Linked DNA regions of Danio rerio. The protein of the gene in region 2 purifies or fractionates together with the protein of the main gene of each other region. This does not show direct contact. Links are inferred from orthologs where the notes say so. Each region holds a gene or a part of one and is shown on either strand. Other genes may lie near its edges. The genes, in order: sod1 and rnf19a.

The links.
Region 1: the proteins of rnf19a (region 2) and sod1 purify together in Homo sapiens (affinity purification with western blotting, with the first as the bait; 3 studies listed by BioGRID). This does not show direct contact. The link is inferred for Danio rerio from reciprocal best matches to the Homo sapiens genes RNF19A and SOD1.

The regions. Positions count from the first base shown.
Region 1 is NC_133185.1:30,634,490-30,639,032, forward strand, and holds the start of sod1 (superoxide dismutase [Cu-Zn]), read right to left. Parts: upstream 2,985-4,543; 5' UTR 2,917-2,984; coding exon 2,845-2,916; intron 1,288-2,844; coding exon 1,191-1,287; intron 652-1,190; coding exon 582-651; intron 1-581. UniProt on the Homo sapiens protein: Destroys radicals which are normally produced within the cells and which are toxic to biological systems.
Region 2 is NC_133194.1:13,180,131-13,184,676, forward strand, and holds the start of rnf19a (E3 ubiquitin-protein ligase RNF19A), read right to left. Parts: upstream 2,930-4,546; 5' UTR 2,755-2,929; coding exon 2,724-2,754; intron 1-2,723. UniProt on the Homo sapiens protein: E3 ubiquitin-protein ligase which accepts ubiquitin from E2 ubiquitin-conjugating enzymes UBE2L3 and UBE2L6 in the form of a thioester and then directly transfers the ubiquitin to targeted substrates, such as SNCAIP or CASR.

The DNA.
Region 1 (4,543 bases), on a different chromosome or scaffold from region 2:
CGCATGACGCATGCCATGACATCACATTCGCTGCGTGATAACAGTTCGTTATTGAGTTCAATAACAGTAGGCTGATTGGCTGTTGCATGTTGGTCTCATTTGTAGTTTTTATACCGCATTTTATACCACATTTGGACTATTGAAATAAACAACTACAACACCACAAAAACCAAGCAACAACAAAAAATAATTTAAATGAGCATTAGATGTAGTGTTACATGGACATGGGAAAAATAAGACCGGTGCAAAAATATTTAAGACCTAGAACAGCAAATTAAAGATTTTTTTAAGGCCTAAAATTTCGATTTTTAAGTTTGAGACTTTAAGACCCTGCGGAAACCCTGTATTCGATGTTCTGTCTTCTGACACCACACATGCCTAAATTGAGATACAGGCCCATGCGACAAATGCAGATCAACTTTTAAACAAACAGGATTTAAGTAAATGGGACAACTTTGAGGGCAAGTAGAGTTTCTGCTTTCAGTGACAATCCGTACAGACAATAAATATTAGCATTTTACTATATATAGATACTGTAAATCATGCAAAACAGATGTATCAGAGCACACTGATAAACTCACCTCACACTATCGGTTGGCCCACCATGAGTTTTGTCATGAGGGTTGAAGTGCGGACCTGCACTGATGCAGCCTGTGATCAAGAGCAAAAAATAAATAAAAATAGCACAAGTGTGATTTGTGGCCCTTTAAACGCATTAAGTGCTTACACTATGAAAGTATGTAAGTGGAGAATTTAAAAACTTTTCAGAGCTGTTTACTCCTTCACTTTGGATTCAGAACCAGGTAAAAAATGGAGTCTAATGGTTTTAGGTCAAGGTTATTGGTCCTGATGGGATGAACTTGTACTTTAATGCAGTGTTTCTCAACCATGTTCCTGGAGCTGATGATCTGAATCAGGTGTGTTTGGTTAAGGAGACATGGAAAATATGCAGAACTGATGATCCTCCTGGAACGTGGTTGAAAAACACTGCTTTAATGAATGGAGTGGCATACCCTGACACCCCGTTTACACCTGAAATTATGATGCATTTTGCTCACAAGGAGGTTGTTTACACCTGGGATCTCATTTAATAGGGTGGTGAATGCACAAAATGGGGGGAGAAATGAAGCGATATAAATCATCATGTGGGCCATAATAATCGCTAAATGTTCAGTTTGACCACTCCTTACCGTTTGTGTTGTCACCAAAAGCATGGACGTGGAAACCATGTTTTCCTGGAGTAAGGCCAGTAATTTCACCAGTCACCTTGACTGGCTTCTTTTCACCCTAAAACATACAGATCCATTGTGTGGTTAACAACGGTTTCATATCACTTCAGAAAACATGGTTTCATATCATTTCACAAAACAAAAGCGCAGTTAACCAAGTTATGCTTGGCTGCAAAACACATCATACAGACAATTTGTTTCCAAATGTACACCTGGAATGCACTGCATGTTTATCTCAACACGGAATCAAAAGTGACAATATGCTTATTTTGCTTTCTTGCAATGTCACTTATTTTATGAGAGGTTTATCAATACAAGTCATAAATCACCCAAGCTCAACTAATAGAAAACCACAACATTCAAATCAATTCATGGAAAAAAAAAAATTTTTTACTCTTCAACCTTTGTCCTCGTTACAGACATTTTACTCAGATATACATTAAAATATGGAAGAAAAGATCATGAAACTTGTTTTAATAGATTTGAGTAATAAAAAAAATAAATTTAAAAAATCAAAACATGCCTCGATGACATATTGAATACTTGATTGAGGTAAAGTTGGTTTTACATCCGCACATTCATTCAGTGAAAACTTATGAAATACCCCCTATATTTTTATATTTTTTTACTTTCAATATTTGGTATGAACGCAAGTTTAACTTTAAAACAACATTAGCACAAATAGTTTGATAGTGAACAATGTTGTACTTTGAAAGTGATTATATGATTTACTATTTAGAATTTTAATTGATTTTCTTTGGTGAAATTATATTATTAAGGAGAAAGACTGAATATGCAAATATACAACTAACTTTACCTCAACAGATACTTGAAGCGCTGCTGGATAAAATACAGAAGAACTTCACAATTTAAACATTAAATTATTATAGGGAAGGCTAAAGACAAATTAAAACAATATAACGAGATTTGGGACTAACACAAACAGTAAATAGCGCTTAACAGCAAGTAAATGTGTATTCAGATGCCACACCAATACAGTAATAAGCTCTATCAGCATTTAAAGCGTGCTGTGATCTCTGTCCTATTTGGCAAAATTATGACTGCAAACAGAGATAGAGGAGCATGAGTCAGCAAACCTTTCCCCTTGTAGTAAATTCTTAAGACTTTCGATAAAGTAAATACCTCAAGAACCTACAGGCAACCTACGCTACAAAGTCTCAATATCAAACTCAAACGCATGGCGGTTCAAGGTTTGCATGTAAGTTAACGTCTGCTATTGAGGAAGCATATGCGTTAATTAGTTTGCGCGTGCATGGGGGGGCGTAGACCTGCCATCTTATCAAAGGTCATTTCTGAGCTGCTTTCAGCGGTTTATTATGGGATGCGACATTGCACAAAATATTAGTAATAGGATGTACAACTCAACATTGTGTTTTTAAACATGTTCGGTCATTTATATTTGCATTGCATTCGCACAGCAAATTCCGTGCAATTGCATGCTACTCTATCATCATGCATACGTAAAAATATGACAACAGACGTCTTCAATCTCGATCATGGAGTGCGTAGTAGTTTCATGCTAGCTCGACGCGCGCGCTGCTCTCCTGCTACATGAACGTCATTTCAAATATGGATCAAAACAGACATTTTTTACCTCTTGATTGAAATAGACGGTGCCGGTCACTTCACCGGTGCCTTTAAGCACACAAACGGCCTTGTTCACCATGCTGACTGTAGATTATGCAAACTGAGAAGTTGTGAGAGAGTGAAAGAAACCGACTGTGTTTGATAAGAGGAGGCACGTGAGCGGAATCGACCAATGAGGAGGCAGAAAAGAGCGGTGGATGCTGATTGGTTCAAAGTCTGGCGTGTCACGGTGTCATAAGGTATCGTTTTGAATGAACTTGTGGAACCAGTTACTTTAGTTATTTTATTAGTTATATAAACTGACACTGAAAGTAAACTCTTGTCACTTTTCTTGCCATTTTAATTACATTTACGACACGGCGGCTTAATGGTTAACACTGTCGCCTCACAGCATGAAGATTGCTGGTTCGAGTTACAGCTAGCTTAGTTGGCATTTCTATGTAGAGTTTGCATGTACTCCATGTGTTGGCGTGGCTTTCCTCCGGTTGCTTCGGTTTCCCCTACATGACAAAGACATGCACTATAGGTAAATTGTATTAACTAAATTGGCCATAGTGTATGTGTGAATGAGTGTGTTTGGTTGTTTCCCAGTACTGAAACAGCATCCGCTTAGTAATAAAATATGCTGAATAAGTTTCTGTCTCGTTCCATTGTGGCCACCCCTGATGAATAAAGGGACTACCCCGAAGAAAAATGAATGAATGAAGTTTCTGAATAACATCCTTTTCTTGCTCAATGCAAGTCACTTTGAAAAAAAAAAGTAAGAGTAAAAGTTAAACCAGTTAAACTTAGATTTTCAGACAATAAAAGAAGTTATAACAATATCTTTCTCATTATTTGTTACAGTATAAATATTTCTGATCATAAAGTGGTTTCAATAAGAATGTACATCACATGTATTATTTTGGCTACCTATGTGGTACATTCAAAGGTACAGGACACCCAAATATGAAGATTCTGTCATTTACTTACCTTCCACCTGTTGCAAACCTGTTTGAATTTCTTCTGTTTAACGATCTTCGAAGAATGTTAGAAACCGGTGGGCATTGAATTTTATGTAATTGGTCCCTACTATGGATATATAAGGCTACCAGTTTCCAGTATTCTTTAAAATATCTATACTCATGTGCTTTACATCAGACAAAAAGCTCACACATTGATTGAACCACTTGAAGTTGAGTGAATAGTTAGTACATATAGTTATTTGGCTCAAATTACACAGTCCTATAGTATTATTCTTTAAAAAAGGAATATATCAAAACCATGTTTGTCACTTTGACCTTGGCATTTGGTCACATGCATCCTCAAATTCTACAGTCATGCCCTATTCATATACATATACTGTAGACATCCTATTCAAACCATTACAAATGGTTTTGGTACAGTGTCACATGATAACTACCACAAATCATAATAAAACTGGTTAAATATAGTTAAAAGCTCAGAAAAAGCTCAGTTTTTTTATTCATGATTAGTTTTAAATGCACGACTAGAATAAATGTTAAAAACAAGTTGCATAAACCAGTTCATTCATTTGGTATGAAAATATTTTATTAAAACCACCTCCTGTCGCTGAAATATTTGGAGTTCCTATCTCCAAAAACTTAAAAATGATAAAAACATCTTGTGTCGTTTTTTTTTTTTTTTTTTTTGAATGTTGTAAACATTAAGTTAAAAACATTACAGCAAAAGGGTCTTAATGTCAT
Region 2 (4,546 bases):
TCCAAATACAGTTATTTGATCTAATCACAATTATTTTCAGTTCACCATGACAAAAGTGCAGCTTAAAGTCATCACATTTTGCTAATTAAAAGAAATGTAAACATTTTGGCCATTGAAGAATGCAAATGAGTAATTCCATTGTTATTAATGTGACATTTGCAGTAAAAGTTCAAAACATAACTCTAATAGAAATTATGTTAACATTATATTAAAACATCCGTTTATAATATCCAAAACAAACAACCACAGAATTATAAGATCAGAACAATATGAATCTGTAAAAAATTTTTATATTTTAAATAAGGAAAATAAACGCGTTGTGGATGTAACCAAAAAAAGTCTGAGTTTACAGTATACAAAACACGTAGAATTTTTAATTAAACTGCACAATTCAAAAGAAATACTGCTAATCAAAATAATAAGAGTTGGCTTACTATAGATCCAAAAATGTTCATTTTTATTTTTTATATTTATGAGGAAAAGGCTTGGTTATGGATGTGACAGATGTGGAAAATCAAATATAATTGTTTGAAAACATTAAGAGGACTTTGAGCATTTTTACAGTACTGTAAAATACAAGCCTAAGCAAAAAATGTAAAAAGGGTTTCACTGTTTTGGTAAAATCTTTATTTTTTATGGGAAAATTGACATTTGCATGGAATTACTGTTATTTAGCATGTATGGCCTTTTAATTAGGTTTCCAAGTAAAACAACAAATATTAGCAAAGGTATTTGGCTTACAAGTCAGTGAGATCAGCAAAAAAAAAAAAAAAAAAAAAAAAAACACTTTAAATCATTTACAATCATAATTGTTTGTTTTAAATATTACAGTTTATGTATTTTTATTGGGTTTTCATGGATCCAGTGTACATATAACGTCGACCACAAAGTTTAAGAAAAAGAGAATTATATAAATATGATTAAAATATGGGCGACGCAGTGGTGCAATAGGTCATGCTGTCGCCTCACAGCAAGAAGGTCGCTGGTTTGAGCCTCAGCTGGGTCAGTTGGCGTTTCTGTGTGGAGTTTGCATCTTCTCCCTGCGTTCGCATGGGTTTTCTCCGGGTGCTCCGGTTTCCCCCACAGTCCAAAGACATGCGCTACAGGTGAATTGGGTAGGCTAAATTGTCCGTAGTGTATGAGTGTGAGTGAGTGTGTGTGTGTGGATGTTTTCCAGAGATGGGTTGCAGCTGGAAGGGCATCCGCTGCGTAAAAACGTGCTGGATAAGTTGGCGGTTTATTCCGCTGTGGCAACCCCGGATTAATAAAGGGACTAATCCGAAAATAAAATAAATGAATGATTAAAATATTTTGTACAGCATTAAATATGGGCCAACTGAACAATCTTTTCAAACAAATATAGACAGAAATCATGTACTAGGCTTACACTTTATGTGACATCAGAAAAACATAATTAAATCCTTCATCCTAATTATTCATTCATATAACATTTTACTCAGGTTTGATGAGGAAGTGAAAATTTAAAGCAGACCAAAATTAAAGCCGAACAAACAGGTTTATTCAACGCATTAACGAAAAGCAAACGGGCCAACTTAAACAAATGATAAGATGAGCAAAGCAAAACAATTACAACGTTAATCAAAACTATCTGTCTGAGGATTCAAAACAAAGCAAAAAACAGAGAATTCACGATCCTCTCTTGAGGCCTGTGCTGAAGATAAGCTGCTTCCATGCAGGATTTACATCAAATGCTGATCCAATATTTCACCACTACCCAAAATGATCAAAACAGACGCCACTTCATTTTTGTGATGGGTCACTATATTCACTCCCAACTCATTTCTTTACCTAAAACCTCAAATAGTGACTAATATGTGGAAGTGGTTGCTAAACCAATATTTTTCACCTCTAGACCAAGTTTCCATAGATCTGAAATTAAGTCACACCACTTCCAGCTAAGTTTGAACATCAGAGCCTAGTTAGTACATTTTCACTATTACTACAAAACACACTCTCGAAGAAGTTTGAGACAATCTTCATACTAAATCACCCTTTGAACTCAGACTGTATGACATAAGACTGGCATTTGGCAACATGGGCAAATCCTTATTTTCAACTAAACACTCTCGATTCTACGTAAGTGTACTTGTTCAAACATGTTAGTCATTACAGGAAACAAACCAATTAAATATACATTTAAAAAAGACGTTTCACAATGTCAATACAAACTAAAATACTACGAAAATTTCATTTGTGATCCATAACTTAGTCAAATTAGGCGTGCAATCTGTTGCTAAATAAACCTCCCTAAGCCTTCAACAATAACGTTAGCTGGAAAACACCTTATCGATGTTATAATGGAGATCAAAGGTTCGTGTCGTTTTACCTCAGCGATGAAGCTGGGTATTTGTTTCTTTTTCCACAGACTTCCTGGTTACAGAGGTGTGAATTTAAACTTAACAGAAACAAATGGACAATGCGATAGCTGGCTACATGCCTACGGAAGGTCCATCTAATGTCGGACTCACCACAGGCCCTTTAAAGCGATTTTACTTCCCTACACGCCAGCTAGCGGGCGTACAACCCAAAATATGCGGTTATTAGTTGTATTGGGACAACCGTGGGACTCGTCTTTAAGAAATAAAGCTGTAAAATGTGGGCTTTCTCGTTCGCCAGCGAGAGTAAATCTGAAAGCGAACACACGACCGTTAGCCAAGCCGTCAAACTAGCCTTTTATAGCAACGAGAACAACAGCGACTCACCTTTCAAGTCATCCGCGTAAAAGCATTTCATTACAGGCAACAAATAAAGGTGAAAAACTCCGAGTGTGGTGTTGGAAGGCGGCTACTTTTGGGAGTTGTTTTGTCGGGCTGAAGTCGGGCCGTCCTGTGTGTCCCGTCCTCCGCTCGCTCTTTCGCTCGTACTGACTCACTGGCATCCGTCTCGCTCGCTTCTCACATATCAGTTCAAACTCTACTCTCGCGAGAGTCGGCGCGCGCATTCCTCAAAGCTAGAATAATTAAAGAGAACAGACGGAAGGCAGATTTTCCTGTGATGGTTTCAAAACCTAGTTTTACCATACTTTTACATGAAACAGTTTCTGTACATTTATTTTTCACACATAAATAGCTATTCTTCGATAAACCGCTTATATCAGAGATTTATATATTTAAAAATGATAATTTAATTCAAATATAGCCTAATTTCAGTTGAACTATGGCAGACATGTAACGTACATCGTGTTTATAAGCACACGTTTATAAAAAATGGCATTTTTCTTTCTCTTTATGCAATTTTCGGTTTATTTATTCATTTATTTCATTAATAAATATTTTATTTTATAAGGATCAAGGTTAATTCTGTTAATGAAAAAAGAATAGAAGAACTGAATCAGTCAGTTTTGTTTTGTGCATGTTTTTGAAAAACAAAAATAAAGCTAAATTAAGAAAATGTGTTCCTACTGAGATAAATCAGTAGTCCCTTTATTAATCAGGGGTCACCACAATACAATGAACCGCCAACTTATCCAGCATATATTTTATCCAGTGGATGCTCTTCAAGCTGCAACCCAGTACTGGGAAACACCCATAGACACTCATTCACACACAAACACTATACAGACAATATAGCCTACCCAATTCATGTCTTTGGACTGTGGGGGAAACCGGAGCACCTGGAGGAAACCCACGCAAACATGGGGAGAACATGCAAACTCCACACAGAAATGCAACTTGACCCAGCCGAGGTTCTAACCAGCGACCTACTTTCTGTGAGGTGAAAGCGCTACCCACTGTGCCACCGCGCCACCCCCTTAGTATTATCTTTATTATTATTAGTTTAATTTAGTAATTAACCTATGCTTTACGTTAAGCATCACAATAATTTCTAGTACTTTCTGGAAAATCCTCTTCTCAAGTCTGTTTATTAAAGTATTAAAAATGATGCCACACAGTATCACAAATAACAAGTGTGATAGAATTCTTTGATAAATTGTGTTAAATTGTTCTTGGATATCTAAATAAAAGATATCTAACTTAGGTGCAAAAATTATCCAGAAACAATTTTACAGGTTAATTTCCCAACCTAGGAATTGGCTCTAATATGACATTCGGCTGGTTTTGACCATATTTGGAAGGGTCATAAATATTAATAAAGTCTACTCTGCTCCTAAACATTTCATGTCAAGGACTGAAGCTCTCTCTATCACACACACACAAACACACACATACTCAATGAGAGAGAGAAAAGAGACACAGCACAATGTACTCTAAAATACCAACCTGATCTCACGAGGAAACCAACTTTTGTCAGTTTAGTGGCTAATTGTCAAATGAAAATGTACCATTTTAAAAAGGAGGTGTGGCACCAAACCCCGCCCCTAAACCCAACCGTCACTGGGGGATGAGCAAATTGTACTAAATTGTATGAATAGTACCAATTCATATTAATCAAAAAATTATGAAGTTAAGTTATATGTACAGTTGAAGTCAGAATTATTAGCCCCCCTTTGAATTTTATTTTATTTTTTAAATATTTCCCAAAAGATGAATGTTTAACAGAGCAAGAAAATTTTCACAGTATGCCT